Linked DNA regions of Anolis sagrei. The protein of the gene in region 3 interacts with the protein of the main gene of each other region in a pairwise test. Links are inferred from orthologs where the notes say so. Each region holds a gene or a part of one and is shown on either strand. Other genes may lie near its edges. The genes, in order: CEP95, SCNM1, MTUS2 and LMO4.

The links.
Region 1: the proteins of MTUS2 (region 3) and CEP95 interact in binary tests that used the Homo sapiens proteins (3 or more experiments, as listed by UniProt). The two-hybrid records come from large-scale screens. The link is inferred for Anolis sagrei from reciprocal best matches to the Homo sapiens genes MTUS2 and CEP95.
Region 2: the proteins of MTUS2 (region 3) and SCNM1 interact in binary tests that used the Homo sapiens proteins (3 or more experiments, as listed by UniProt). The two-hybrid records come from large-scale screens. The link is inferred for Anolis sagrei from reciprocal best matches to the Homo sapiens genes MTUS2 and SCNM1.
Region 4: the proteins of MTUS2 (region 3) and LMO4 interact in binary tests that used the Homo sapiens proteins (3 or more experiments, as listed by UniProt). The link is inferred for Anolis sagrei from reciprocal best matches to the Homo sapiens genes MTUS2 and LMO4.

What each region holds. Positions count from the first base shown.
Region 1 is NC_090022.1:179,773,388-179,781,264, reverse strand, and holds the start of CEP95 (centrosomal protein of 95 kDa), read right to left. Parts: upstream 3,007-7,877; 5' UTR 2,898-3,006; coding exon 2,876-2,897; intron 1-2,875.
Region 2 is NC_090032.1:6,619,097-6,626,415, reverse strand, and holds the start of SCNM1 (sodium channel modifier 1), read left to right. Parts: upstream 1-4,304; 5' UTR 4,305-4,735; intron 4,736-4,920; 5' UTR 4,921-4,929; coding exon 4,930-4,980; intron 4,981-7,006; coding exon 7,007-7,077; intron 7,078-7,319. Other genes in the region: LYSMD1 (lysM and putative peptidoglycan-binding domain-containing protein 1), read right to left, coding at 454-809, 2,197-2,376. UniProt on the Homo sapiens protein: As a component of the minor spliceosome, involved in the splicing of U12-type introns in pre-mRNAs. Plays a role in the regulation of primary cilia length and Hedgehog signaling.
Region 3 is NC_090023.1:31,861,162-31,868,967, reverse strand, and holds the start of MTUS2 (microtubule-associated tumor suppressor candidate 2), read right to left. Parts: upstream 3,013-7,806; 5' UTR 2,915-3,012; intron 2,905-2,914; exon of another isoform or gene 2,683-2,904; intron 1-2,682. UniProt on the Homo sapiens protein: Binds microtubules. Together with MAPRE1 may target the microtubule depolymerase KIF2C to the plus-end of microtubules. May regulate the dynamics of microtubules at their growing distal tip.
Region 4 is NC_090024.1:153,051,156-153,059,071, forward strand, and holds the start of LMO4 (LIM domain transcription factor LMO4), read right to left. Parts: upstream 3,013-7,916; 5' UTR 2,392-3,012; intron 1,001-2,391; exon of another isoform or gene 978-1,000; intron 1-977. UniProt on the Homo sapiens protein: Transcription cofactor. Plays a role in establishing motor neuron identity, in concert with MNX1, acting, at least in part, to disrupt LDB1-LHX3 complexes thereby negatively modulating interneuron genes in motor neurons.

The DNA.
Region 1 (7,877 bases), on a different chromosome or scaffold from region 3:
ATTTTGCACATTTTCCCTCCTATTTGGAAGGGGATCCAAGCAACAAATCTATCTATGTCCAAATGGCAATATAGTCTAGTGCCAAATGAACAGGCCAAGAAATAAAAACTATAAACGGACTATAGGTTCTGTTTTTCAAGAACAGTACTTTTTTACAGTAACATCACATACATGACTAATCAGAAGTAACTTCAAAAAAGATTTAATGACAAGAGGATACAAAATCCAATTTGGGCTGAATTTCTGTATCTACACTTGGTCATTTACATTCACAAATTCTGTATCCATAGATTCAGTCATTCATGTGTGTGTGTGTAAAATTTCAAAACTGAAAACTTGCTTTGGCATGTTATATAAGGGACATCATTTTAATATACCATAATCGGATAATAAGCAACCAGGGATTTTGCTATTTTTGGGAACAGCATGAAATTAAACCCAGCTGATGCTCATTGTATTTCCCAGTAAGAATAAGCCTCAAAACTAACATGATCTGGTGTTTTGAGTAATGGATCAAGAGTCCAGGAGACCAGCATTTGAATCACTGTTCAGCCATGGAAACCCACTGACTGACTGACTTTGGCAGAGGCAAACCTGCTCTGAATAAATCTTGCCATAGGGCTGCCAAAAGCCAGAGTTGAACTGAAAGCACATAACTGCCATTCCCATTTAATGTATTGGGATTTAATTCTAAGTGACTATTATAGTATATAGTATTTAGAATTTAAAATGTTCAAGGATGTGCAATATTAACATTGGTGTTTTGTTATTATTAAAAATGAAGATGATACAGTGCTGTGTTTGTTTTTTTTAATCTGTTTGTTTTGTTCTGAAATGTAACACAATTCTCTTTTTGTAACACAATTCTCAAAAAAAAGAGAAAAGTGGGGGAAATGTCAAAGCAAAATAATAAAACAACATGTTAAAGAGGCTGATGTACGAAATGCAATAGTATGTAATAAATGTGATAAATCAATAAAAATTATTTTTAAAAATGTAATACAATGTTCTGGTTGCGGATGACACGATAAATAAATAAATAAATAAATAAATAAATAGTGCTGTTAAATGGATACCATACTATACAAAAACTAAGCAATCAAAGGTATACTAACAAATTCAATTTTAACAAAAATATATACAGAATTACGGCACATTTAAAAATGCAAGGTCCAATCTATCAAGAAGCTGGGAAGTCTGGGATTTGGGAAATGGGTGAGGATAAGGAGAACCTGTAGCCAAATGCAAAATACAATCTATAACAGAGATCAAAACTATGTAAAATATTTTAAAATGGAAGCTCAATTTTTCATTCAAAAGAATGGAAACTATATGCCTTAGCATAACAATAGCAAAATATTTCATCAGATCTCCTGCTGCCATGTAGCCCATAAAGTAGGGAAGAGACTTTGTATTTATTGTGAGGACAGGGCTAAGAAGGATGGGTTTTATCTATGTGATGGGAGGAACAAGCATAGGATTCTTGTCATTGATATGCCAGAGAGTAGTACCATATTTGTGACCATTGCTTAAACTATTGCTTTCTTGGAAACTCACAAAGAACCAGAATCTGATGGCTCATGAACCATTACTGGTTCACAGATCACCTCTTTGAGTAGCACTGCTTTAACCAGCAAAACCTACAACAACCCAATACTGGAAGGGTTTGGTGGCATTGACCTTGAGTTTTGGAGTTGTAGTTCACCTACATTCAGAGAGCACTGTGGACTCAAACAATGATGGATCTGTACCAAACTTGGCACGAATATTCCATATGCCCAAATATGAACACAGATGGAGTTTGGGGGAAATAGACCTTGACATTTGAGAGTTGTAGTTGCTGGGATTCACAGTTCACCTACAATCAAAGAGTGTTCTGAACGACAGAATCGGGGCAAACTTCCCACACAGAACCCCCATGACCAACAGAAAATATTTAAGGCCATCCAGTCCAACTCCCTTCACCAGGACAAGAAAACGTCATCAAAGCTCTCCTGACAAAGATGACAAAGAGCCATCCAGCCATAGATATAGATAGATCGATATGATTAACGCGCACAGAGATATAGTATCATAGATTTGAAAGGGACCCCTAAAGAAGGACAATGATATCTTGCATGTTCCAGGGTGGGCAAACCAGACCATCTCCACATCAACACTGACAAAGAAACAGCAAAAAGTACTGTTTACCCACAAGCATAAAGAAATTACATATATTAGAAACCAACACTTTCTCATTAATTTATTTTCCAGATCACTAGACTGGGCCACAGCAACGCCTGGCAGGGGACAGCTAGTGTTATAAGAGTACGGTGTATATGAGACATACAACACCCGCCTACAGAATATCTCGTTATGCACATGCAAGTATTCCAACACTTCTAGTCCCAAGAATTGAGGAAAGGGGATACCTAATCTATGTCAGAGTCTAAGTCCTTAAAAGTAAAAAATACAAATGACATAACTCCACAGCACTCAGCCCCCGGTGGCGCAGTGGGTTAAGCCCCTGTGCCGGCAGGACTGAAGACTGACAGGTCGCAGGTTCAAATCCGGAGAGAGGTGGATGAGCTCCCTCTGTCAGCTCCAGCTCCTCATGCGGGGACATGAGAGAAGCCTCCCACAAGGATGACAAAAACATCAAATCATCCGGGTGTCCCTTGGGCAACGTCCTTGCAGACGGCCAATTCTCTCACAACAGGAGCGAGTTGCAGCGGGCTCAAACTGCATGAATTCTACAGTGTAGGTGCACTTTGAGTGGCCCAGGCATTCCCCCTCTAGCTCTACGACGTCCTTGCTCTACCTCAGGGAGCAAACACACCCCAAGGAGCTCTCCTGAGCAAGGACAATAACCCCCTCCCCTTCCCTGAGGGCCCACCTTTTTCCTCAGTGGGGCCCATGTCACGGTTCCGCCCAGGCCTGCCTTCTTCAACTGATATCCAACCACCCCCGGCCCCTCGCCTGAAGAGATTTAAACCCTTCACCGCCCCACGGCCTTCTGCGAAGGGATTGGCCGGTCTGGAGAGGAAGAGGCGGGGCTTCCTGTGGTTGCTTTCGTAGATTCGCAATCACTCGAGTCAGTGTCCTACTTCCGGCCTTGTGTTCCAATGATAAAAGAGACAGCCGGCCGGGCTGTTTATTTCCTCGGCCTGGTCCCGTTGCCGTGGCAACGCGGCGCGCGCTTCTGAGAAAGGGTGGCGCGCGCAATTTAGGCCGCTGGGGCGGGAACTGGGTGCCTGTGAGGAGGAGGGTATAATGATGGTGGCTGTTCTTGACCTTTGCCCTCCATGTTAGGCTGTTTTACTTAATTTCAATCCTATCTCTCCTCTTAAAAACTGCACGGTTATAATATAGACCTAGGGCCCTTCCACACAGCCCTATAACCCAGAATATCAAGGAAGGAAATCCCACAACATCTGCTTTGAACTCGCTCTTTCACACAGCTTTATAACCCAGAATAGCTTGGCAGACAATCCCACAATATCCGCTTTGAACTGGATTATCTGAGGGCCCTTCCACACAGCCCTATAACCCAGAATATCAAGGAAGGAAATCCCACAACATCTGCTTTGAACTCGCTCTTTCACACAGCTCTATAACCCAGAATAGCTAGGCAGACAATCCCACAATATCTGCTTTGAACTCGCTCTTTCACACAGCTCTATAACCCAGAATATCTAGGCAGACAATCCCACAATATCCGCTTTGAACTGGGTTATCTGAGGGCCCTTCCACACAGCCCTATAACCCAGAATATCAAGGAAGGAAATCCCACAACATCTGCTTTGAACTCGCTCTTTCACACAGCTCTATAACCCAGAATAGCTAGGCAGACAATCCCACAATATCCGCTTTGAACTGGATTATCTGAGGGCCCTTCCACACAGCCCTATAACCCAGAATATCTAGGCAGACAATCCCACAATATCTGCTTTGAACTGGGTTATCTGAGGGCCCTTTACACAACCCTATAACCCAGAATATCTAGGCAGACAATAGCACAATTTCTGCTTTGAACTTGGTTATCTGAGGGCCCTTCCACACAGCCCTATAACCCAGAATATCAAGGAAGGAAATCCCACAACATCTGCTTTGAACTCGCTCTTTCACACAGCTCTATAACCCAGAATATCTAGGCAGACAATCCCACAATATCTGCTTTGAACTCGCTCTTTCACACAGCTCTATAACCCAGAATATCTAGGCAGACAATCCCACAATATCCGCTTTGAACTGGGTTATCTGAGGGCCCTTCCACACAGCCCTATAACCCAGAATATCAAGGAAGGAAATCCCACAACATCTGCTTTGAACTCGCTCTTTCACACAGCTCTATAACCCAGAATATCTAGGCAGACAATCCCACAATATCCGCTTTGAACTGGGTTATCTGATGGCCCTTCCACACAGCCCTATAACCCAGAATATCTAGGCAGACAATCCCACATTATCTGCTTTGAACTGGGTTATCTGAGGCCCCTTCCACACAGCTGAATAAAACCCCACATTTTCTGCTTTTAACTGGGATAAATGGCACTGTGGAAACAGATAACCCAGGACCCTTCCACACAGCCCTATATCCCAGAATATCAAGTCAGAAAATCCCACATTATCTATGTGTGGACTCAGATAACCCAGTTCAAAGCAGATATTTTGGGTTATTCCGCCTTGATATTCTGGATTATATGGCTGTGTGGAAGGACTGCCATACAATCCAGTTAAATGTGAATTTTGTACAGCTGTGTGGAAGGGCCCTTAGATTTTTCCCTCCACCCAAACCTGGGTCTAAGGGCCTGTCCACACAGCCATGTAACTCAGAATATCAAGGCAGAAAATCCCAAAATATCTGCTTTGAACTGGGTTGTCTGAGTCCACAATGCCATATATTTCAGTTCAAAGCAAATAATGTAGGATTTTATTCAGCTGTGTGGAAGGGGCTTGAAGCTGGATCTGCACTGCCATATAATCCAATTTGAAGCAGATAATCCGAATTCAGAAACTGGATTATAGGGCAGTGTAGATGGGGCCTTAACTGCATAGCAGCCTTACGAAGTCGGCTTGGCAGGAAAAGGGGGTGGTTGGGAAAGTTGAGGGTCAAACAGAATGGGGTAAGAGGCTGTTCCTACTTTTTAGTGCATCTACACTGTGGAATAAGTGCATCATGATATCCCTTTAGATGCCATGGCTCAATGCTTTGGGATCCTGGGATTTGTAGTTTGGTGAGGACACAGCACTGTAATAAGAAATTCAATGTACAGATTTGATAAATGTTAATTTAATAATTATGTGTGGGAATGAATGGAAGAATGGAAGTTGTATGTGTGGAATTAATAATTTTGGAGACCCTACTAAAATACTAAGGCCTTGGGATCCTGGAATTTGTAGTTTGGTGAGGACACAGCACTCTTGCAGAGAAGGCTAAAGAAAAACCTTGAAAAACAACAGTATTTATGGTATCATAGCTTTAAGCCATGGCAGTGAAAGTGGTGTCAAACTGCCATAATTCTACAGTGTAGCAGCACCTATAATTTGAATTATTTGAATCTAGGCCCTCTGTGGCGGTTGTATTCTCTTCCCTTGTGAAAGATGGCAATGCAGTGACTGCCTAGTACTGCAAGAGCCCCATTTAATCCATTGTCTAAAGGGGGGTTACACTTTCTTTCCAGCTGTACTCTGTTCCATCAATATTGTGAGTGCTCTCCTCCTTCAGTTTCATGTTTTCATTTACGAGCAATATAAAATAATGTATTAGAATTGCTGCTACACCTTTTCCATTGCTCTCTTCACTTCCGGCATATAAACAGGCAACATGTTAACCCCTCCTGGGTGTCTTTGTATTGACAGGCAAAGCCCTGTAATTTTTTTTTTTTTTTGCAGACTTTGAGCACTAAAGGTTTCCAAGACCTTTAGTACTCAAAGTTTGCAAAAAAAATATACTGCTATGTAATTAATTTTCTGAGTCCAGATGATCTGCTTTGAACCTGATTATATGGCAGCGTAGGTCCAGCCTCTGTTGATAATCCAGTTCAAAGCAAATCATCTGGATTCAGAAACTGGATTACATAGTAACCTAAGAAAATAACTTTTAAGAGGACATTGTCTTGTTTTGTGTGTTGAAACTCAACCAGAGCAAAATTTTATAAGACTGCACCATTTTGAATGGTTTTTACCCATTGACTTGTACATTTTAAATTGTTTCTATGTTAATGTTGATCTTTTGTATGTTTCAACTATTCTGCAATCGATGTAACTGATGGTGATGATAAGTGGATAAATTGCTACTATTGCCAAAACATTGCTTTGCAGATTCGATTGACAAGGTTTGACATGATAATGCAGAAAATTACAACAGGGAGTCCCCAAATTACAAACATCAGACTTACAAATGACTCATAGTTAAGGAGGGTGAGACAACAGGAAGTGAGAGAAATCTACTCTTCGGAAAGAAAATTCACTCCTTATAGTGGGAAAAAGGTGTTTCCACTTAAGCTTTCTCCCCAATCTTTGTTTCCACAACAAACTATTTTTTTTTCAAAATCCAATTATCACAGGGACAGAAGGTGAGGTGAAATCTTCTGAACAGGGTCACGGGCAGCAAAACAAACACCACAGGGCTATTAACTTTTCCCTATGCTGTCCAAAGCTTATAGAAATATGTGGCTGGAGTTACATTTCAAAATGTATGTGTTCTTACATACAAATTTAACTTAAGAATAAACGTACAGAAACTGTCTTCTTTGTAACTTGGGGACTGCCTGTAATGGCCTCGTCTTATAATCATGCAAGCGGTACAGGGAAAATATAGACTTGCTTGTGAGTGCCTTTGTTCTAGTGTAATTGAGCTTTTTGGGGTGTTATTTTGGAGTGATTTCACGATGGAACATCTCAAAGGTCGGTATACTTTTTTCAGCTGGGACTACTATGCTTTTAATTGACAAGTCAAATCTAGAAAATTCTAGTTACCCCAGCAAAGCAATGGAGTGACAGGAGAAAGTTTATCTATTGAAGCTGTGTTGGATTTGAACAATTAAAAGCGTAGGAACCCAACTAGGAGGAGGAAGAGCAGCATCTAACTGCTCAGGGGATCATGAATGCCTTTAGATTGCTTCATAATAGATTTATCACAATTATGTGCCCCTCTGACTTCACAGCAAGGTCTTTATAAAATCCTGGGGATACTGTTGGCCCAGTTTGATTGTGCAGCTGTCATTGGATGCATCTACACTGTAGAATCAATGCAGTCTGATACCACTGAATGTGATGGAATCACTGGAGTTATAGTTTCCCAAGGTCTTTAGCCTTCTGTGGGATCTTGCCAAACTACAAATCCCATCATCCTACAGAACTGGGCCACATCAGGTAAAGTGGTTTCAAACTGGATTAATTATACAACATAGATACACACAGTTAATCTGGATACTTAGCTTGTACAACTGCAGTTTATCAAACCTATCTTGAGGGAAAAGTTATTATGAATCTCGTAATATTTGTGTGCTATGTATAGCATACAATCTTCTATACACAATCTTCTTCCTGATGGAAACAGCAACCTTCTCAAGCCTCTAGTCTACTGGTTATTTGTTATGTATATAATTGCTTACTATATTTATTTGTGTATTGGTATGCAATTTGACCTTAATTCTTTGTTGTGGGAGGGGCTGCAGACATTGTGACACTTAAAACGTTAGCATATAAAATATAAATTCATATCAAGTCAATAAAAACAATAAAAACGTATATCCTCAGCATCTCCTTACTGAAATAATTATTCAATCACATCGTCAGTTATCAATGTTTCTTCAATAAATATTTTCCCATCTGCTTTTAAAAATGTTACTTTTCCTTAGGCCTTTTTAAACCTGTAAATTAAATGTTAATTT
Region 2 (7,319 bases), on a different chromosome or scaffold from region 3:
AGAACTCCCGTGACCAACCAAAAATACTGGAAGGATTTGGTGGGCATTGACCTTGAGTTTGGAATTTGTAGTTCACTTACATCCAGAGAGCACTGTGGGCTCAAACAATGACCAAACTTTGCACGAATACTCAATATGCCCAAATGTGGAGTTTGGGGAAAATAGCCTTGACATTTGGGAGTTGTAGTTGCTGGGATTTATAGTTCGCCTACAATCAAAGAGCATTCTGAACTCCACCAACAGTGGAATTGAACCAAACTTGTCACACATTATTAATTTTATTAATAATAAATAAAATAATAATAATAAAGCATATATTATTACTATTATTATTATTATTGATCCTCATCCCCTTTCGCAACTTGGCTCGCTTACACCGAGCCACCTAAATCTGGGTTGCATCATGTAAAAGCCATCGTTTTCAAATTACAAGTGAGACGAAAAGGCACTCACAGGCTCTCCCCGTCCCGCAGCTTCTTGGTGGCGGCCTGCTTCGAGCGGCGGATCTCAGAGTCCAGTTTGAAGAGGAAGTCCGAGGCTGAGAGGTCATGTTTGGGGACGCCGCTCGAGGACCCGTTCTTCCGAGGGTGCTTCTGCTTCTTGGGGGTTTCGGGGACTCCAGGTCCCAGCTCATCTCCCGCTTTTGCGGTTGTGGCCTGCTCTCCCTCCTCCTTCTCCTCTTCGTCCTCGTCAAGGTTCAACCCGTTCGACAAGGACTTCGGCTCCATCGGCACTGGGATGAAGAGAGTCTTTTTCAGGAAAATGGAGTCGTTGGTGTAGAGACGGTTGGCCCGCTTGATCTGCTCGGTCTGGAATCGGATCAGAAAGGCGGTTAAGCGAAACGATAGCTCAATGCTCCTCTATCTATCTATCTATCTATCTATCTATCTATCTATCTATCTATCTATCTATCTCTGTCGTCTATCTGTCTGTCTATCCATCCATCCATCCATCCATCAATTCATCCATCCATGTCCTCTCTCTCTCACTCTCTCTATCTATCTATCTATCTATCTATCTATCTATTTGTCAATCTATCTGTCTATCTATCTATCTATCTCTGTTGTCTATCTATCCATCCATCCATCCAACCAACCATCTATCCATTCATCCATCCCTGTCCTCTATCTATTTCTCCATCCATCCATCCATCCATCCATCCATCCATCCATCCATCACCTCTATCTATCTATCTATCTATCTATCCATCCATTCATCCATCCCTGTCGTCTATTTCTCCAACCATCCATCCATCCATCCATCCATCCATCCATCCATCCATGTCCTCTATCTATCTATCTATCTATCTATCTATCCATCCATCCATCCATCCAACCATCTATCCATTCATCCATCCCTGTCCTCTATCTATTTCTCCATCCATCCATCATCCATCCATCCATCCATCCATCCATCCATCCATCACATCTATCTATCTATCTATCTATCTATCTATCTATCTATCTATCTATCAATCCATCTATCAATTCATCCTTCCCTGTCCTCTATCTATTTCTCTATCCATCTATCCATCCATCTATGTCCTCTATCTATCTATCTATCTATCTATCTATCTATCTCTGTCGTCTATCTATCTATCCATCCATCCATCTATCTATCCATTCATCCTTTCCTGTCCTCTATCTATTTCTCTATCCATCCATCCATCCATCCATGTCCTCTATCCATCCATCCATCTATTTATCTATCTATCTATCTCTGTTGTCTATCTATCTATCTATCTATCTATCTATCTATCTATCTATCTATCTCTCCATCCATCTATCCATTCATCCATTCCTGTCCTCTATCTATTGCTCTATCTATCCATCCATCCATCCATGTCCTCTATCTATCTATCTATCTATCTATCTATCATCTATCTCTGTCGTCTATCCATCCATCCATCCATCCCTGTCCCCTATCTATGTCCTAGTGTCCAGAACAGCCTTCCCCCTCCTCAATGGGAAATCCTTTCAAATATGTAAACATGACTCTCAACTTTCACTTTTGCTTCTCCAGCTCCCAAAGTCACTCCTTCTAGTTTTTCAGACCTTTGATCACGGCGATTGCTCTTCTCAACGAAAATAATGTTATGGTTAGGGGGTCAACACAACTTCTTTGACATGGACTGTAGTCAAGCCACGCCATGGATACTCATGCTATGTATCCATGCAATGATGTGCCAAGACTCACCGTGACCCCGTACTTGACCGCCAGGCCTTGGAGGGTATCCCCAGGTTCGAGGCGATGCTCCAGCCGCCTTTCCCGCACGGGCGAGCTGACTGTCTTGACCAGGCTGCCATAGGATCGGGTCCGGCTCCCTTGCAGCAACCCGGCTCCTCCGGGGGAAGCGGGCTTCGACGGAGAGGACATCCCTTTTCCCCCCAAAATAAATAAATCCCTAAAGACCTTTCCAGGGCGTGACCCTAAAGGGCCCTAAAACTTGACTCCAAAGGTCTTTTGAAGGCCCTAAAAGCTTGATCCTAAAGGTCCTTCCAAGACCCTAGAAGTTTGATCCGAAAGGTCCTTCCAAGACCCTAGAAGCTTGACCCCAAAGGCCTTCTCCAAGACCCCAAAAGCTTGACTTCAAAGATCTTTCCAAGATCCCAAAAACTTGACCCCAAAGGTCCTTCCAAGGCCCTAGAAGCTTGATCCCAAAGGTCCTTCCAAGTCCCTAGAAGCTTGACCCTAAAGGCCTTTCCAAGACCCCAAAAGCTTGATCCTAAAGGTCCTTCCAAGTCCCTAGAAGGTTGACCCCAAAGACCTTTCCAGAGACCCAGAAGCTTCACCCTAAAGGGCCATAAAAGCTTGACCCCAAAAGGTCCTTCCAAGTCCCCAGAAGCTTGATCCGAAAGGCCTTCTCCAAGACCTCAAAAGCTAGACCCCAAAGGTCCTTCCAAGATCCCAAAAGCTTGACCACAAAGGCCTTCTCCAAGACACCAGAAGCTTGACCCTAAAGGTCCTTCCAAGTCCCTAGAAGCTTGACCCTAAAGGTCCTTCCAAGACCCTAAAAGCTTGACCCTAAAGGCCTTCTCCAAGACCCCAAAAGCTTGATCCCAAAGGTCCTTCCAAGTCCCTAGAAGCTTGATCTGAAAGACCTTCTCCAAGACCTCAAAAGCTTGACCCTAAAGGTCCTTCCAAGTCCCTAGAAGCTTCACCCCAAAGGTCCTTCCAAGTCCCTAGAAGGTTGACCCTAAAGACCTTTCCAGGGACCCAGAGGCTTCACCCTAAAGGGCCCTAAAAGCTTGACCCTAAAGGCCTTCTCCAAGACACCAAAAACTTCACCCCAAAGGTCCTTCCAGGTTCTTAGAAGCTTGATCCGAAAGACCTTCTCCAAGATCTCAAAAGCTTGACCCCAAAGGCCTTCTCCAAGACCCCAAAAGCTTGACCCCAAAGGCCTTCTCCAAGACCCCAAAAGCTTGACCCCAAAGGCCTTCTCCAAGACCCTAAAACCCAGCAAGACCCCTAAGTTTGGACCCCACTTCTTGCCATGGTGGAGTGGCCCTTCTAAAGGCCCATCGTCCCCGTCTCAAAAGGTAAACAAAGCCCTGCCAACCTTGATCTATCTCTCTAGGTATCTACCCAGGATCCACAAACCTCCCCGCCAGCTTTGATCAAGCCTTTTCCAATCCAATTCAGATCTATTGATCTCCAATCCCAATCAATTTCCTGGCTCATAAGAGGAGACCACAACCAATGGTCTCCTCTTGGACACCCAACCCTATGTAGATATCTATATATATCTATATAATATATATATATTGATTATAATTATATATAATTATATATGCAATATAATTCTATATATATATATAGAATATAATTATATATAAATAGATATAATTTCCCCAGAAATATGTCTGTTTTGGTTCCAGCCACAGACAGATGTCAATCACCCATCACCCCTGCTGCCAATCAATAAGGATCAATGGCTCCAAAGAGGATACTTATCAATAGAGAGAGATTCTCCCAGCCAAGAAGCTGTTGGACCCAAAGCCTGCCTTGCAACCGACTCCCAAGCCCCGCCTCCCCTCCCGCGCAAAGGATCCTGGGATTTGTAGTCTTTGCACTCAAAACACTTTGGAAGCCAGGAAAATAAAATCAAACCCTTTCTCTCCTTTCCTTCCAATTTGAAACCCCCAAATCCAGGCAATTTGCACCCAATCCAGGCAAATTTTGCATTTAGGGGAAAGATATAAGTGATTTTGGGAGAAAGGACTACATTTCCCATCATGCTCCATTTTGAGCAAGGCATGATGGGAGATGTAGTTCTTTCCCCTCTCCAGGAAGTAAACAAGGGAAAGAAAGAGCCCAGAGGCATTTCGGGCAATGCAGTCTCTTGGAAGCAAAGCCCTGATTGGTGCAAGCAACTGAGAGTTGTAGTGCATGCTGGGAGTTGTAGTGCACACTGGGAGTTGTAGTCCTGGGATGTTTGCAACGCTAGAAGGTAAACATTGCATTGTTTGGAGGTGATGCAGTTTCTTAGAAGCAGAGCCCTGATTGATGCAAACAATTGGGGGTTTTAGTGCATGCTGGGAGTTGTAGTGCACAATGGGAGTTGTAGTCCTGGGATGTTTGCAACGCTAGAAGGGAAGCAGAGATTATTTGGGAGCAGTGCAGTCTCTTAGATGCAGTGCCCTGAGTAGTGCAAACAACAGAGAGTTGTAGTGCATGCTGGGAGTTGTAGTGCACAATGGGAGTTGTAGTCCTGGGATGTTTGCAACGCTAGAAGGTAAGCATTGCATAGTTTGGGGGTGATGCAGTCTCTCAGAAGCAGAGCCCTGTTTGGTGCAAGCAATTGGGGGTTTTAATGCATGCTGGGAGTTGTAGTGCACAATGGGAGTTGTAGTCCTGGGATTTTTGCAACTTTAGAAGGGAAACCTTGCATAATTTGGGGTGTTTTTTCTTTTATTTTAGGGGGAAAGGATGTCCTTCAAGAGGGAAGGAGACGACCCCAGCCAACTCAACGTCCTCAAGGTGAGTGGGAAAGGAAGTGGGGGCAAAAGAGGGGTCCATTTGGGGGTAAAATGCCATATTATTCCTTTGGAAAGGGTCCATGCTGTTTCCCATGTTGAATAGTTGCCATTTCCTGCAAAATCCAGATCCTATGTAAGCCACCCAAAGCACTCTGCACATGCTCAGTGGCTGCCTTGCCTTTTAGTTTGCTGGAAAGCACAGGGCACCTCTGAGCCAAGGACTATGTAAACAAGCCACCCAAAGCACTTTGCACATGCTCAGTCGCTATTTTGCCTTGCCTTTTTGCTTGCTGGAAAGCACAGGGTGCCTCTGAGCATGTACAGAGTGCTCCCAGCCTGCAGAGTTTGGCCACAGTGCATGTACACTGCATTATAATATAATATATTGTATATGCATATAATGTTTATAATATTATTAGCTGTACCTGCCACGCGTTGCTGTGGCCAAACTTCCCTCCTTCTTTCTCTCCTTTCTTCCTTCCTTCTTTCCTTCCTTTCCTCTTTTTCTTTCCCTTCTTCTTTCTTTCTTCCCTACCTGTTTCTTTTCTCGCTTCCTTTGCTCTGTGGTTCCATCCTTCCTTGTCTCCTTTCTTCCTTCCCTCTCTCTTTCTCTCTTTTGCTCCTTCTCTCCTTCTTTCCCTCTTTCCCTTTTTTATTTCATTCTTTCTCTTTCCTTCCTTCCCTCCTTTCTTCCTTCCTTCTATATACCCTTCTTTCCTTCCTTCTCTCCTTCCCTCTTTCTCTCCCTCCTTCTCTCCTTCCTTCTCCATTTTTTCCCTTCCTTCTCTTTTCCCCTCCTTCTTCTCTCTCTCCTTCCTTCTCTACTTTTCTTTCTTTCCTTCCTTCTTTCTCTCCTTCCCTCCTTCTTTCCCTCCTTCTCTCCTTCCTTCTTTCTCTATCCTTTTTTCTTTCCTTCTCAATCTTCCCTCCTTCTTCTCTCCCTCTTTCTCTCCCACCTTCCTTCTCTACCTTTCTTTCTTTCTTTCCTTCTTTCCTTCCTTCTCTCCTTCCCTCTTTCTCTCCTTCCTTCTATTTTTCCCTCCTCCTTCTCTCTCTCCTTCCTTCTCTACTTTTCTTTCTTTCCTTCTTTCACTCCTTCCCTCCTTCTTTCCCTCTTTCTCTCCTTCTTTTTCTATCCTTCTTTTTTCTTTCCTTCCCTCCTTCTTCTCTCCCTCTTTCTCTCCCACCTTTCTTCTCTACCCTTCATTCTTTCCTTCCTTCTCTCCTTCCCTCTTTCTCTCCCTCCTTCTCTCCTTCCTTCACCATTCTTTTTTTCCTTCCTTCTCTTTTTCCCTCCTTCTTCTCTCTCTCCTTCCTTCTCTACCTTTCTTTCTTTCCTTCCTTCTCTCCTTCCCTCTTTCTCTCCCTCCTTCTCTCCTTCCTTCTCCATTCTTTTTTTCCTTCCTTCTCTTTTTCCCTCCTTCTTCTCTCCCTCCTTCCTTCTCTATCCTTCTTTTTCCTTCCCTCCTTCTTCTCTCCCTCTTTCTCTCCCTTCTTCCTTCTCTGCCTTTCTTTCCTTCTTTCTCTCCCTCCTTCTCTCCTTCCTTCCTTCCTTCCTTCTTTCCGTGTATGTGTTGTGTGTGTGTGTAGGTATATAGGTGTGTTTGTGTATATATGTGTGGTTTTGCGCGTGCATTGTAATGTTTTGGTTTTGTGTTGTTTTTTGGCTTTTAAGTCCCTTCTGTTGTGTTTTTCATTGTTTTTAGGAGTGATGGCCACTCGTTGGCCTGAGAGGCGTCTTGTGTCCAAATTTGGCTTCTAGGAATTGTGGGAGTTGTAGTCCAAAACACCTGGAGGGAGAGCCGAAGTTTGCCCATGCCTGGTATAGATGCACTGTGGAAATAACTGGGGTAGCAGTGGCCAAACTCTGCAGGCTGGGTGCACTCTGTGCATGCTCAGAGGTGCCCTGTGCTTCCAGCAGGCAAAAAGGCAAGGCAAGGCACCCACTGAGCATGTGCAGAGTGCTTTGGGTGGCCTGTTTGTCTTAAAGTTTTCCTTCCTTTTAAAATCTTTTTCTTCTCCTCCAGAAAAGAAGAGTTGCGGACCTTTTGGCCAACTATATCCCGGAAGACGAAGCCTTGCTCCTGAGAGATGGCAGGTCAGCATCCCTCTCTCTTCCTTCCTCCTTTCCTCCCTTCATCCCCTCCCTTTGCTTCCTCTTTCCCTTTCCTCCTTCCTTCTCCCAATTTGTTTTTTCTACCATTCTTCCTCCCATCTTCCTTCTTCTCATCTCTCTCCTTCCTTCCTTCTCTCAATCCCTTCTCCTTCCTTCCTTCCTTCCTTCCTTCCTTCCTTCCTTCCTTCCTTCCCTCCTTCCACCTATCGTACTCCTTGCTTCCT
Region 3 (7,806 bases):
ATGGCAGGCATCCTCAGAGGTTGTGAGGTCTGCTTGCTTGTTTGTGGGGGGGGGGGGGGGGGTTAAAGCTGCACTGGATGCCAGTCTGCTACTGAGCACAATTCAAAGTGCTGGCTTTAGCCTATAAAGCCCTAAATAGTTCTGGTCCAGCTTACTTGTCTAAATGTATTTCCCTCTATGAACCATCACAGAGGTTAAGATTGACCAGAGAGGCCCTGGTTTCTTTGCCACCTTCTTTGCAGGTGCTCTTGGTGGGGACGAGAGACAGGGCCTTCTCAGTGGTGACCCCTGGCTGTGGAACTCCCTCCTCAGTGATATTAAATCAGCCCCCTCCCTCCTGGCCTTCAGAAAGAAAGCAAAAATATGGCTTTGGGACCAAGCCTTCAGATAACAACTGTAGTGCAATAAATGGATACAAAATATGTGCAATGACTACTGGAATGGCTCTGGACTACAATTGTGGATTGCGTGGTTTTCACAGTTGGTATAATGTTTAGATGTTTGATTTCTTGGTTTTAATGTAATTGTTTATTTTAACTATATGTCGTTTTGATGGCATCAAATTGTTGCCTATGTGTAAAGCCGCTCTGAGTCCACTTTGGGGAGAGAAGGGCGCGGTATAAATATGATAAATAATAAATAAAATAAATTAAAAGATATGGGAAGGACAGCAAAACTATTTTTCCTGAGTTGGAGTATGAAGCAGCTGCTCCAATGTATGTTGTTATGATAGGAAAAATACTTGCAGGCAGTTAATTGGCATTTTCAAATAACAGCAGCAACAATAACAGAGAGGAGAAAAGGAAGTATGTAGTGTTTTATAGACATGACTTCAATAATAATGCAACAACACTGAAGATAGATCAAGACATAATATTATTCCCATCTGTCAGGTGAGAATGGGCACTGGAACTGTAAAACAGCAGCTTGTGTAGAGCTAGCACTATATCACTATGATGAAATTTGAGATGGGATGCTCAGACTTCAGGGCTACAGAGTCTACTTTGTTTTTGTTGTTGATCTACCAGAATTGTGCCCTAGACATGGCTACCAAGTGGATCCTGGTGCAAAACAATGGCTCTGGAGTTTGTGGGTAACTGGGGGAGACAACAGAATTGTATAGCAAGCATTAGAACGAAGAGGGTGGAGTGCCTCCGGGCACATGTACTACCCTGACATTTGTTTTCAGTACCAGCACTGAGCTCACACAAGCATGTCATATGCAAACCCACTCCTGGATCCCTGCCCAAGCTTTCTTCCATCTCGGCAGGCAAATCTGGAAGTCTTTTCATGCTGCGATTATGAAATCACTGTGCATTGGAATCTCAGTACCAATCATCTGTAAATCTACCACTTGATCCCAGTCTCTATTCCACCTTCCTCCCACCTCCAAGCTCGACAACACTGATCCATGCAATACATCCTTTGGGAGATTATCTCTGGAGAAAAGCACGGAAAAGTCACTTGTGCAAAGCCTTTTCAAGCCACCACCACTCTCTGATCTTCATTTCCAACATTGGAAAATGCGTGATTTGAAAAACATATAGAACACAAGCCAGCCAATTGACCAGCGTAGCATGTGACATCTGTAAACAACCAGCATGGGTAAAGTCAACAACATACACATATATTGCAGGTAAACATTTGAAGTTAGTGCCTGTTGCAGCCAGAAAGGAAGGTATATAAGAGTTCATCAACCTCCTTCCCTCTCCCCATCATCACCCAGATGCACAACTCTCTCTTGTGCAGTCCAAAAGGACAACTGGAAAGAGCTTTCTGATGACCAAACCCATTAGGAGCTCCTGGGGGTGCAGTGGCAAGATTAAAGACCGACAGGTCAGAGGTTCGAATCTGGGGAGAGTGCGGATGAGCTCTCTTTCAGCTTGAGCTCTCTTTCAGCTTGAGCTCCCCATGTGGGAACATGAGAGAAACCTCCCACAAGGATGGTAAAACATCAAAACATCCGGGTGTCCCCCGGGCAACGTCCTTGCACACAGCCAATTCTCTCACACCAGAAGCGACTTGCAGTTTCTCAAGTCACCCCTGACATTACAAAAAAATAAATCCAATCCTGCTCCTCAGTTTGGTTCCTCTGCTATAAAAAGACTCAATACACAGAGAGCTCTACAAAGACATGGAGAGGGGGGATGACAACGAGGATGGATGCTAAGAAGAGATAACAGGCTGGTGTGCAAAGGGCCACCGCCTTCTTGTCCCGTTCAGAAGAGAGAGAGAAAACTGGGGAAGAATAGGTGAGTGATGGCAAGGGACAATGTGCGGAGGGGAAGGGAGGGGGCGAGACAGGCGTGGGGTTGTTTTGCTTCTGTGCCTGCCTTTCGGTGTCTATTCGGCTAATTTAGAGTCTTAAGCTTCCCCTCTGGGATAGCAAGTGGCTGAAGGCGAAGGAGGAAAACACTCAAGGGCAGGGTTTCCAAAACTTGCGCAGGAGGAATCCAATCTCCCTTGAAAGAGTCGGAGGGGCTGGGAGGGGCTCCCCGGCATGAAGGCAGCACTTTCCCCAAACCCTTACCCTCCCAATGGGCAGAAGGAAAGACCCCTGAAGTGGCCCCCGCTCCAAGTCCCACGCGCAGTTGCTTCCCACCTTGCCAGAAGGACCTGCTCCAGCTTTGGTACCCAAGACCCAAGTCGGAGGAAGGATGCTCCAGAAGAGCAGCGACTTACCTGCTGGCTCTGCGACGGAGCTGTCCTCCCCTCGGCAGGACAAAGGGACCCGAAGACACGCACGCACACACCCTTCCCCGCCCACCTCCCCCTCGGTTTCCCCTCCGAGACGTGGCTCCTTCCTTCCCTCCCACTCGAGATTACATCCCGCCCAGACGCGTGGCAGCAGCTCCGGCGGAGAGGGATGTTGGGGAAGAGCTCATATTATATACGCGCGCAATCCCACACTCACACAAAGCGCTGGGCTCCTTCCGTGGGTTGTTTCTCCCCACTGCGGCGTCCAAATGGGGGAGCAAGAGCGCCCTCCGCCGGCAGCAAAGGGAAAGCCTCTCCCCGGACTGCTGTGCGCTCCCGTCCCCTCGGACTGGGAGGTTATTCCCGGCCATCCAGGACTATTGAACCATCCCTGTCGCCTCTCGCCTGGGCTTTCCTCATGGAGGATGTGTGGATCCGAGGCCCATCCGTCGCCCAATCAGCCCACAGACTCATAGAGTTGAGAGAGACCACTAGGGCCATCCCCTCCAACCCCCCAATGGAGGCTGGAAAGGGCAGAAGGGCTCACAAACAAGCAGAGAAAGGCTGCTTCCACTTGCGAGGACCCCCTCCCTTCCCAAAGACAGATGGGAGTCCAAATATGGCCCATATCTGTGTGGGTTAGTTGCTATGGCAGCGAATGTAGGAGTTTTTGGGAGTGTTTCAGGGTTGTGAAAGAGAAGGGTGTGTGCACCTTGGAAATGGGGAATTATGCTCCTAGGGAGACTGTGGTCTTTTTTAAAAAGGCAAATCAATGGGACCTACAGCAAATCAATTAGATGCCAAGGTGACTAAACAGAGACTGTGGGGTTTGGGGCATATCATGAGATGGTATAACTCAATAGAAAATTATAATAATAGGTTTTTCGGGTTATAGGGCCATGTTCTAGAGGCATTTCTCCTGACGTTTTGCCTGCATCTATGGCAAGCATCCTCAGAGGTAGACCTCACTACATGGCCCTATAACCCGAAAAAACCTACAAGAACCTAGTGATTCCAGCCATGAAAGCCTTCGACAATAATTATAATAATACTTGGTAAGGTAGAAAGCAGTAGGAAAAGAGGAAAGCTACGTGGACTTCAAAAAAGACAAATCTATGGGTTCTACAGCAAATCAAGGCTGAAAATTAGATGCCAAGGTGACTAAATGGAGATTGGGTCATATCATGAAAGGACATAACTCAATAAAAAAATTATAATAATACTTGGTAAGGTACTTACTTAGGTGATCCCTCGTTGTCCGAGTAAGACTGTCTTCCAAGATCGGTGTACTGGCGGTGGGTCCGTAGGTGACTGTGGAGCCCTATTCTTGATCTGTATCTTCTCCCACAGTGAGAGTATTGGTTTCCAGGTGGAAGGTGGTCTCGGTCAGGGTTGGCTTGACGCGCTTTCCTCTTGGCATGTTTCTCTCTTTTACCCTCCATCTGTGCCTCTTCAAAATTTACAGCACTGCTGGTCACAGCTGACCTCCAGCTGGAACACTCAAGGGCCAGGGCTTCCCAGTTCTTAGTGTCTATGCCAGAGTTTTTAAGGTTGGCTTTGAGCCCATATTTAAATCTCTTTTCCTACTCACCAACACGGTAGAAGGCAGTAGTAAAAGAGGAAAGCTACATTACACATAGATGGAATCAGTCAAAGAAGTCATAGTCTTGAGTCTGCAAGACCTGGGTAGCTTGGTTGGAGATAATAGCATTGTTGTTGTTGTTGTTTGCCACCAATCCAAATTATGGTAACCCCATGAATAAGAGACTTCCAAGTCACTCTATCACCGGCATGGGAAAACTCCAGCCCTCCAGGTGTTTTGGACTTCAACTCCCACAATTCCTAACAGCCTTGTGCCCTTTCCTTTTTCCCCTCAGCCATTTAAGTCGGCAAGAGTGTGCAAGACTTGAGTTTCCAAGACTTGAGTAGGTTGGCTGGAGATAGAGCAGCTGAGGGAATTGTGGGAGTTGAACTCCAAAACACCTGGAGGGCCCATGCCTTCTCTACCTCCAACCTGTCAGAACCTGAAAGCTCTTGGAATAAGAGCACATCCACAAAGGCAAATCCTTGGATACAGCTTTATTTCTGTCTTACCATTGGCAATAGGAAGACAGTCCTGAAGATTCCCCACCAAATTCTTTGTATATCATTACCCTAACCCATTCCCCTTCCTACTGGCTACATTTCATTCCCATCATTGTTATCTTACAGTTTTGTTTCCCCCCAGTCCAGATGGCCCTTATCTCATATGTGCTCCTATCCATTCTCCCCCTCTCCATATCCATATCACAGGGTGAATGGAGCAGCTCCATGTTTATTCATATCATGATCTGATCACCATGCTCAATATATCTCAGACATGGTCAAACTTGGGCCCACCAGGTGTTTTGGACTTCAACTCCCACAATTCCTTTTCCTTCTCAGTCACTTAAGTCTTCAGAGTCTTCAAGAGTCTTCAAGACTTCAGTCTGCAAGACCTGAGTAGGTTGGTTGGAGGTAGAGCAGGCATTGTGTGCTAGATCTGGCTCGATTGATCAGAACATTTCTCATAATGTGGAATTTAAAGAACTATACTCAAGCGCTACTATTTACTGTTATAGTTTTTTCAAAGTTACAGTTTCTTAGAAAGTAATTGAAAAGTACATTGGTGTGTGAGAGAGAGTGTGTGTGTGTTAATACGGGTGCTACAGGATGCTAGCCTCTGATACAAAATAGAGTCTCCTCCCATCTACCATCATCTCCACATAACAGCAGAGCTGGGGACAACTGATCACAAACCAGCTATATAATATTCCTCCTCCACCATTTAGAGAGATCATACCCTATAACAAAAAATAACCCTAAAAGTTTCAGATCTATTGTAAAAGGAATGAAGCTATGTCTCATCAAATTAGAATTGTTACTTGAAACTTTAACTGTTATAGAAAGAAATTCATTACAAATTACAAATTGATTTCCAACAGACCTCTCAAGCTCTAAGGATGCCTGCCATAGAGGCAGGAGAAACGTCAGGAGATAATGCTTCTAGAACATGGCCACACAGCCCAAAAAACCTGCCACAACCAGTTATTCCAGCCATTAAAGCCTTTGACAATTCATTACAAATAGTTACTTGTAAGTAGCTACTTTCAAGTTCTGTCAATGGCATTCTGAGAGAACATTTATTCTGGGATAAAGAATGGCTGGCAACTCTTAGCTCACATGACAGTGTAGCAATGAACCGCCTACTCCACCTTAAAGGAGCTATTCATGGTTCTGAACCTTAGTCTCAAAATAGGTTCAGCACCTTGGAGAGTTCCTTTCAAATCCCAGTTCAAGCAGATTCACTGCCCAGCTGACAAAAGAAGGCATTGGAAACAACTTCACCAAAAGCATGTGTTTGCTATTCAGACTCAAACAAGGACCTTTCAAAGTGTAAATGCTTCCAATTTCAGCCTTTTGGAATGCTTTACCAGGGAAAAAAATAGTAAGTTGAATGGAAAAATTCAAGTTCTGTACTCACAAGATAATGTCCTTGCTAATGTCAAGCAAGAGTCAAAACGTGTGAAACAGGAGTCAAATCTGCTTGGGCATCTTATCACAGCAGGAGTTTAATCTGATACAAGAAATACAAAAAGGCTATATGGATTCAGAACATAGTTTTGCTTGCAGAATGGGCGCTCTGCTGTAGCTGGTGGTGTGTCCAGTCATGTAGTGATTAAATTGGGAGCAACCCTTCTCATTATTGCTAGGGCAGTTGTGCACTGGAGTACTGCCTAATCAGGTCAAAATTCAGAGAAATGAAAGAAGCCAAATGACTCCGCTTTTAATGTTCACCCAAGATGAAGAGTAAAGACTGTACTGAAGATTGTTTTTTGTTGTTGTTGTTGTTGTTTTTAGTGAGGAATAAGTATTTAAAGTTTTTAAGCAGTGAAGCAGATTGACAGATTTTCAGGGAGTTGTAGCCCAAAGGAGTAACCTTTCCAAGATGCCTTGCAGAATAAATTCCCACATTTCCATAAATAGCAGCTTTTGTTGCTGCTTTGAAACAGTTTGCTTAAATCTAAATTAAGAGTGAGAATCACATGGCTCTCCAGATGTTGTTGGGTTACAATTACCAGCATTTTTATCATTGATTATTATGCTGGTTAGGAAACTATAGTCTAACAACATCTGGAAGGCTGCATGATTCCATGGCCTGGATTAAATCCAATTGCTAATCCTATCTAAAGTGGACCCATTAGACATTTATTCTATTTTATCTTATTTTCTCTGTTTATTCTATCATGAGTTCTCAGGGAAAGAGACAGGTCAAACTAAATTATATTGTTGGTTATAGTTTTGTTAAACAAGAGCATATCGAGCAATTGAGCAAATTAAAAATATATTGTTGAAGGTTTTCATGGCTGGAATAACTGGGTAGTTGTAAATGTTTTGAGCTGTATGGCCATGTTCCAGAAGCATTCTCTCCTGACGTTTCGCCTGCATCTATGGCAGGCATCCTCAGAGGTTGGAGACTAGGAAAATGGGGTTTATATATCTGTGGAATGTCCAGAGTTGGAGAAAGAAATCTTGTCTGTTGGAGGTAGGTGTGAATGTTCCAATTGGCCGTTTTTATTATCCTTTAATGAAGCCATTGAAATCTACAAGCATGTGAACAATTTCAACAGAAAGGAAGAAACCATGAAAATGAACAAAATCTGGCTACCAGTGTTAAAAAAATCTCTAAAATCATAAAAGTAAATAAGAAACAACACCTAAAAACAGGGGAACTCCAGACAAGAAATAATCAGGGACAGCTAATCACCTCTCAATGAAGGATTCCACCAGGCAGTAAAAAGCTAGACCTTGAAACTGCTAGGCTATAAATGCTAACCAAGGTGGCAAATTGAAACATTCACACCTACCCCAAAAAGACAAGAGTTCTTTCTCCCACCCTGGATATTCCAAAGATATATTTTCCTAGTTCCCAACAGATCTCACAACCTCTGAGGATGCCTGCCATATATGCAGGTGAAACTTCAGGAGAGAATGCTTCTGGAACATGGCCATACAGCCTGAAAAACTTACAACAACTCAAATTAAAATGTGTTTCAAGATTAAAGCAGTTTAAAACCATGAGCAATAATA
Region 4 (7,916 bases), on a different chromosome or scaffold from region 3:
TACATTCTTCATAAAAGCAGGGCACTGGGGAGATTAATAATGGAAACAATTCATAAAGCTTGCTTGAAACTGATTAATGCACCCGGAGGAGTCCAACAGACTTGGGTTTCTTCATTCCTTTATACCAGGCATGGGCAAACTTCAGCCCTCCGGGTGTTTTGGACTACAACTCCCACAATTCCTGGCCTCAGGCCCTTTCCTTTTCCCCCTCAGCCGCTTAAGCGGCTGAGGGAGAAAAGGAAGGGGCCTGAGGCCAGGAATTGTGGGAGTTGTAGTCCAAAACTCCTGGAAAGCCAAAGTTTGCCCATGCCTGCATTCAGATATCAAAAATATCAAGTTATTTACTGTCAATTTAGCAGTGTTTCTCCTTTCATTAAAGGTCCCTGCTCACTTTAAGGCATTCAGCTATAACAACACATAGGAGGAAACAGAATAGCAAACTTTTTCAACTTAGTTACAACAGCAGTTTCCTTAAAATAGGCCTTTTTTAAGAGAGAGAGAGCGAGAGAAGCAGGTTTTCCTTCCAAATAACTCCTGATCATATGGTTCAGTTGACCACACAATAAACCAGCCTGCGAACTGCACCAATTAAGACTGTAACTAAAAACCCCGAGACTTGGGGGAAAGAGAACCACTCTAAAAGCCATTAGCATTGCATTTCTCTGAATGCATCATATACCTTTATGTAAATTGATTTCTGATGCATTTAAACTCACGAAATGGCCTTTTGTTACCATTTCCAGCAATACGAACCTGGCCTTTTTTTCTGACTTTCTGATTAGAAACAAATCCTATTTCCACACCTCCTGTAAAGAACCCCAAAAGTGTCCCCCTCAAATGCAAACCCACTTGTGCCTTGTCCACCAGGGTCTATGTGGGAAAAGAAAAAGTAAATATTGTACCTAAAGGGGAAACGTTACCCTGACAGAAGCACCCAGTAACCCCATTAAGCCAAAGCTCTTAAGGACAAGCAATACCTTAATGCTGATTAGATCTAAAAGAGATGAATCAAGAGGACTGACCAGAAAGTGACTCCTTCCCTCGCTCACGAAGGAAGGATGGGGGCCCTGATCAAGTTTCAGGCAGAGTTGGGGAGGTGGCAGGAAAGAAGGAAGAGAAAAAATACACACACACAGGGAGAGAAAGAGAGAGACAGAGAGGAGGAAAAGCTTTTAACTGAACTAGCCTCGCTCTGGTAATTACACAGCCATTTCGGGTCCTGGAAACAGAGGCAATGAAACAAAAAGGAGAGGCGAAACACACACAGAGGGAGAAAAAGAGAGGGGGAGGAAGGGAGGGAGAAAGAGAGGGAAAGAAGGAAGGGAGAGAGAGGGGGAGAAAGAGAAGAAGAAAGAGAGGGGGAGAGAAAGACTGGGGAGGAGAAAGAAGGGAGAGCGAGAGAGAAGAAAGAGCAAGATAGGAAGAGAAAGGAGAGGGGAGAAAGAGGGAGAGAGAAGAAAAAGAAGGGAGAGTGAGAGAGAATAAAGAGCTGGAGAGGGAAAGGAGAGGGGGGGAGAAAGAAGTGAGAGAGTTTAGAAAGGGGGAGAGAGAGAGAGAGAAGAGAAAGAAGGGAGGGAGAGGGGAGAAAGAGAAGAAGAGGGGGAGAGAAAGAAGAGAGAGACCGGAGAGGAGAAAGCAAGGGAGAGAGAGAAGGAGAGGAGAAAAAGAGGGAGAGAGAAGAGAAAGAAGGGAGAGTGATAGAGAATAAAGAGCGGGAGAGGGAAAGGAGAAAGGGAGGGAGAGAAAGAAGAGAGAGGGTAGAAAGGGGGGAGAGAGGGAGAGAGAAGAGAAAGAAAAAGAAGGGAGAGAAAGGAGAAAGAGGGAGAGAAGGGAGAGAGAGAGAAGAGAGGGGGAGAGGAAGAGAAAAAAGAGGAAGAGAAAGAAGAGAGGAAGGGGGGAGAGAGAGGAGAAAGAGGGGAAAGAGAAGGAGAGAGGGGGAGAAAAAAGAGGGAGGGGGAGAGGAGAAAGAGAGAGAAAGAAGAGAAATAGAGGGAGAGAAAGGAGAGAAATAGAGGGAGGGGAGAAATAGAGAAGGAGAGAGCCCTTTGACAGAGACTATTCATAGAGACACAGCTTGCAACTCCAAAAATTGAAAATAATAATAATGGGATGCTTTAATTCACGGCTTGTTTTGAAATCAGCTCGATCCGGGGGGAGAGAGAGAGAGGGAGGGAGGAAAGAAAATGCCTCCTCCTCCTCCTCCTCACTTGAGATTTCTTTCTCTTGCCACTGTTTCCCAAGGAGTGTTTAGCTGCGAAGAAAGAAGTGCAAAGGAGGGGGGGGGGAGTTGACGGGCTTGTTTGGCTTCCAAATGCGGGGAGACGAAGGGAGGAAGGAAGGAGGGCAAGGGCAAGGGAAAGGAAGGGCAAGGGCCCGCCGAAGCCGCCGTACCTGTTTCCCCTCTATGGTGCAAGAGGCCGAGGATAACGTGGTGGAGGAAAGGCGGGGAGGCTCTTCGTGGCCAGAAAGCGGAGAGGCGGGAAAAGGGGGAGGTTGTTGACGGAGCAAGGCAGCGAGCGAGCCCGCACGGCGCGGGCGAGAGGGGGAGAAGCAGCGCCCCTTCTCTCGCGTCTCTCGCCTCCGGAGTCAGCAAGCAAGCGAGTGAGTCCGTCCTTCCTTCCTGCTTCCTTCCCTCCTTCCTTCCCTTCCTCGGCGGCTAAGTTTTGGCCCGCTGCTGCTGCTGCTGCTCCTCCTCCGAGCCCGGGTCCTCCCTCTTCCTCTTCCTCTTCCAAAATGGGCTCCTCGGTGTTTAAAAGTCCCGAAAGCGGCGGGTTGGTTCAGCGGGCGGGAAGCGGAACAGCTCCGGCTCCCAGGCTGGGTCGGCGCTCCTTCCTGCTCTCGAAGTGGAGGGAAGAGGAGGAGTTGTGGCCGCGGTGGCGTCGCTGTGGTCGGCGGGACGCGCGCAGGGAGGCCCCGCTCTGGCTCTGGCTCTGGCTCTGCTTGCTCGGCTTCTGCTGCTCCTCTCCCTCCTCCGCCTCTGCGCTCTTCTGGCCCATGTGTTACTGACAGAGCAAAATCCCAACAAGTCCGCAGCTCGGCCCCCCGCGTCACAGCGCCTCGCCCAATCCCCGCGCCGCTTGTTCAGGCGGAATAATAAAACCGCCCAATCGCGAGCAGGGCGAAGGAACCAGGGGGCGGGGAAAAGGCCGAAGCAGGAGGGGGGAGGAGGAGGAATCGAATAGAGAGAAGGGTGCTTCTCTCTACTCTTAACGCGCTTCCACACCGCTTTAACTACTCTGCCTCATTCCTCTGTTTTTTTTAGAGCCTTCTCTAAAGCCAGTGGGATTTTGGCCTGCATCAATAGGAGTCTAGTATCTGCATCTAGGGAAGTCATGCTACCCCTCTATTCTGCCTTGGTTAGACCACATCTGGAATACTGTGTCCAATTCTGGCCACCAAAATTGAAGGGAGATGTTGAGAAGCTGAAATGTGTTCAGATGAGGGCAACTAAAATGACCAAGGGTCTCGAGAACAAGCCCTACGAGGAGCGGCTGAAAGAGCTGGGTATGTTTAGCCTGAAAACGAGAAGGCTGAGAGGAGACATGATAGCCATGTATAAATGCGTGAGAGGAAGTCATAGGGAGGAGGGAGCAAGCTTGTTTTCTGCTTCCCTGGAGACTAGGACGCACAACAATGGCTTCAGACTACAAGAGAGGAGATTCCATCTGAATATTAGGAAGAACTTCCTGACTGTGGAACTCTCTGCCCCGGAGTGTGGTGGAGGCTCCTTCTTTGGAAGCTTTGAAACAGAGGCTGGATGGCCATCTGTTGGGGGTGCTTTGAATGCAATTTTCCTGCTTCTTGGCCGAGGGTTTGACTGGATGGCCCATGAGGTCTCTTCCAACTCTATGATTCTCCTCCCCAGGAGCATCAACAAACTATAACTCCCAGAAATGGATAGCATTGAGCCTTGGCAGTTAAAGCAGGGCCAAACTGCATGAATTCCACTGTGCAGATCAAAGAGTTGGAAGAGACCTCATGGGCCATCCAGTCCAAGAAGCACTTCTGACAAAGCACCATCCAGCCTCTGTTTAAAAGCCTCCAAAGAAGGAGCTTCTACCACACTCTGGGGCAGAGAGTTCCACTTCTGAACAGCCCTCACAGTCAGGAAGCTCTTCCTAATGTTCAGATGGAATCTCCTTTCTTGTAGTTTCTTGTCCTTTCTTGTAGATGTCCCAAAGGCCCTTCCACACAGCCCTATCAAAAAATTTGGCTTGCGGAAGCAAGAATTCGTAATACAGCTTCAGTGGAGACACCTTTTCCAATGATAACTCTTTCAGGAATGAATTTCCCATCCTAGAGGTAGATTTCTTTCACTTATTTATTATTTATTTAAAACATTAATACCCCGTCCTTCTCAACCTCCGAAGAAGGACTCAGGATGGCTTCCAACAGGCAACAATATAGAGCATACCATAAAATATAACCATTTCTTGTTGTCTCATCCTTGTTCTTAACTATGAGCCGTTTGTAAGTCGGATACTTGTAACTCAGGGACTGCCTGTACTGACTAGGGTTGATGGGACAAGCTTCTATCACTGTTTATAGGGATGCTTCCTCTGCAATAAAATCCCATTTTATTTAGTTGTCATTTCTGTGGCGTAATGTAAAATAAACCACGTGTAGTTCACATTTGATCAGCTCACACACTGCCTTGCCAGAGAAAGAAAATAAGCCACGCAGATGAACAGCGAAAAAAAAAGTAGTTTACTCTTTGTCAATCAGAACAACATATTTACAATGTGTTCAGTTGCATCAACTCACATAATGTCCTTTTATGAGAGATTTAAAATGGTCTTTGTCCATGTGGAGAAATTCCTACAGCAGCTCATTAAGCAAGAGTACACTCTAAGCTATCTCTCTGGGTGCTTTACTCTTCTCTCTCTGCTGGACACCTGCATAGCTCTGCTGAACAAAAATGTAACGGTAACCAAAAGTCCCAGGCTCAGCTCAGGCATTGCCTGACCAATCAGATTCATGCATCTTATTTTGCAATTGACACACACACACTCAATGATTCCTTGAAGGCTCCAACAATTTCTACATAAATATATGCTTCCTAAGCTCAGAGGGAAGAATGCTCTTCTCTTATCAAACAGAACTCCAGCCATGTACATTGAGCATCCCTTATTTGGGATTCCAACATCCAGAAATATTAAAAAGTCATCCACTTGGGTGGCGGAGGTAGGGATGCCTTTGCTTTCTGATGGGTCACTATACTCACACGTAGTTTCATGCACTAAATTATTTGAAATACTGTGTATAAAATTGCCTTCAGACCTTAAAAGATATATATGAGACATAAATGAACACCATGTTTAGACTCCGGTCTCACCTCCAATTGTGAACGGATGTGCAAAGAGAAGTATTTCAAAAATCGGGGGCGGAGGGAAGTGGGAACTAAACCTCTGATCCCAGGCTTTTCAGACCAGGGATAGCTTTATCTGGAGTCTGTGTTTCATATGCTTTTCGAGGTGTGCAGCACCTGTCTGCAAAAGTGCCCTGTGTATTAGCTAGGCCAGAGCCACCCAGTGGACTACACAACAGATGACAGGAGGTTTGAAATGGCATTATATGATCAGTGTTGACTCATCTAACGCAGTTTAACAGTGTTATATGAGTCTACACCAGGCATGGGCAAACTTCAGCCCTCCAGGTGTTTTGGACTTCAACTCTCACAATGTTAGGAATTGTGGGAGTTGAAGTCCAAAACATCTGGAGGGTCGAAGTTTGCCCATGCCTGGTTTACACTGATCATGTAATACCATTTGCAAATAGCAATGCAGATGGGGCCCAAGAGGTCCTCCTTTGTACCTCCTTGTACTTTATCACACCAAGAAAGGTGCTTTCAGACACAACAGGTTTTGTAGTCTGCTCCAACAAGCGTAGGACTTTCCTAGTCAATATTTTTCATAGAATCATAGAGTTGGAAGAAACCACATGGGCCATCCAGCCCAAGCCCTTGCCCTGCAGAAAAAGCACAATCAAGCACTCCAAATAGATGGCCACCCAACTTCTGTTTAAAAGCGTTCAAAGAAAGACCCTCCGTCACACACAGAGGCAGAGAGTTCCACAATTGAACAGCTCTCACGGTCTGAAAGTTTTTCCTAATGTTCAGGTAGAATCTCCTTTCTTGTTCTTTGAACCTATTGCTCCAATCCTATTATCTAGGGCAGCAGATATATATATATTTCCTACAGATATACAACAAATCAGTACAGCATGGTTTTTCATATTAGTGCAAAAACTTGGAGCATCCCAACTTAGAAATGATGAGTAGTTTGTAAGCCACTTTTTGAAAATAATATATCTAAAGTACATGAATTACTGTAATTTCTATCCCACCTTTCTTCCAATATGGAACTCAAGGTGGCTTTCAGTATATTTACAAACGGAGTATAGATAAAACAATGTATGGTGCAAAATTTCAAAATAATATGTTTTAAAAGGCACTACTTTAAAACATGACTCATGAATATGGAAGAACAACACATGCCATTAAGAGATCTTTCTACAACAGCAAATTTGCAGCCAGAGGCCTAAACAAAAAGGTCTTTGCCTGCAGGTGGAAGAAGAACCAAACAAGATTCTTGTAGGAGGGAATGCCTAGGAGAAGCCATAAAGAAGATCTTCTTTGAGTAAATCTACACTAGAAATAATCAAGTTTGACACCACTGTAACTGCTATGGTTCAATGCTGTGAAATCATGGGAGTTGTCGTGTTTAGCCATCTCTGTGCTGGTACCTCACAAAATTACAGTACTCAGGGTTCCATAGAATTGAGCCATGGCAGTTAAAGTGGTGTCAAATGGCATTAATTGTGCAGTGTAGATTCACTTTTAGTCCTTGTCACAGGGTGGGACCAAGAGAAAGCCCTCCCCGCTTATCTTAAAATTTGAGCAGGCTGATACAGCATTTCCATGCCAGACAATAATATAATCTAACATTTTAAAAATAAATCGAATATTTTAATGTAAATTTTAATACATTAAACGTAAACATAATGCTAGATAATAAGAAAAATATTCATGTTAATAAATAACATAAACAGGTTAATTGGTTAAGCAGGGTGAACATAACTTTGGATCTCCCTCTCCAAGTCTCATTGTACGTATACAGACTACTGGACTAATATCCTTTATGTTTATAATACAAGCGATCATTTAGCCTTCAAGTCTGCTGAGAAAAATTACCAAATCACTCATTTACAGGCACTTTTCTCAGTCATTTCTGGCCCCAAAGAATCGGCTTTCCTGTCTGGTTGTCTAGACAGATTGCTTACCTGTCCAAGGTGAACAGATAAGTATTTGCAAGCCTTCTTTGATCATGGAGGAACTCGGACTTTTGAATCCAAAGATTCATGTATGTAAAAAAAAATGTTGATCTATTTGGAACAAAATTCCCATGCTTTAGAAGTCTCTCTTCCTTCTGTAAACCATGTTAGTGCAGTTAATTTGGATTTAGATAATGAATAACATTGAATAAGACAGTAAAGAAGGTGCAGATAATCAAGAGAGACCTCTGCAAATCACTTACTCCAGGGCAGGCAGCCTGATGTCAATGGAGTGGGACTACTCTAAAGAGCAAACCAGAGGTATTAATGCTGATTATGTTGATATTAAAGTAATATGGGGTGAGGCCTACTAGGCTGCGTATTCCCCGGAAATTGCAGAGAGCAATTTTGGATTCACACACTTAACACTTCACCAGCTCCTTATGTGCTGTGCTCCTTGGGACAAAATTCGATCCTCTGATTGGAAAAGTTTTTTTTTCAAAACCCACCCATGTGAGCAGCGTCCCACTCATCAAAGCAGTGGCCATTGATTTTTAAGTACTCCTTGTTGAAATCAATGGGGAGTTCAGCTTAAAAATTAATGCTACTGTAACTCGCTGTTATTAATACCCCATAAAATTTTA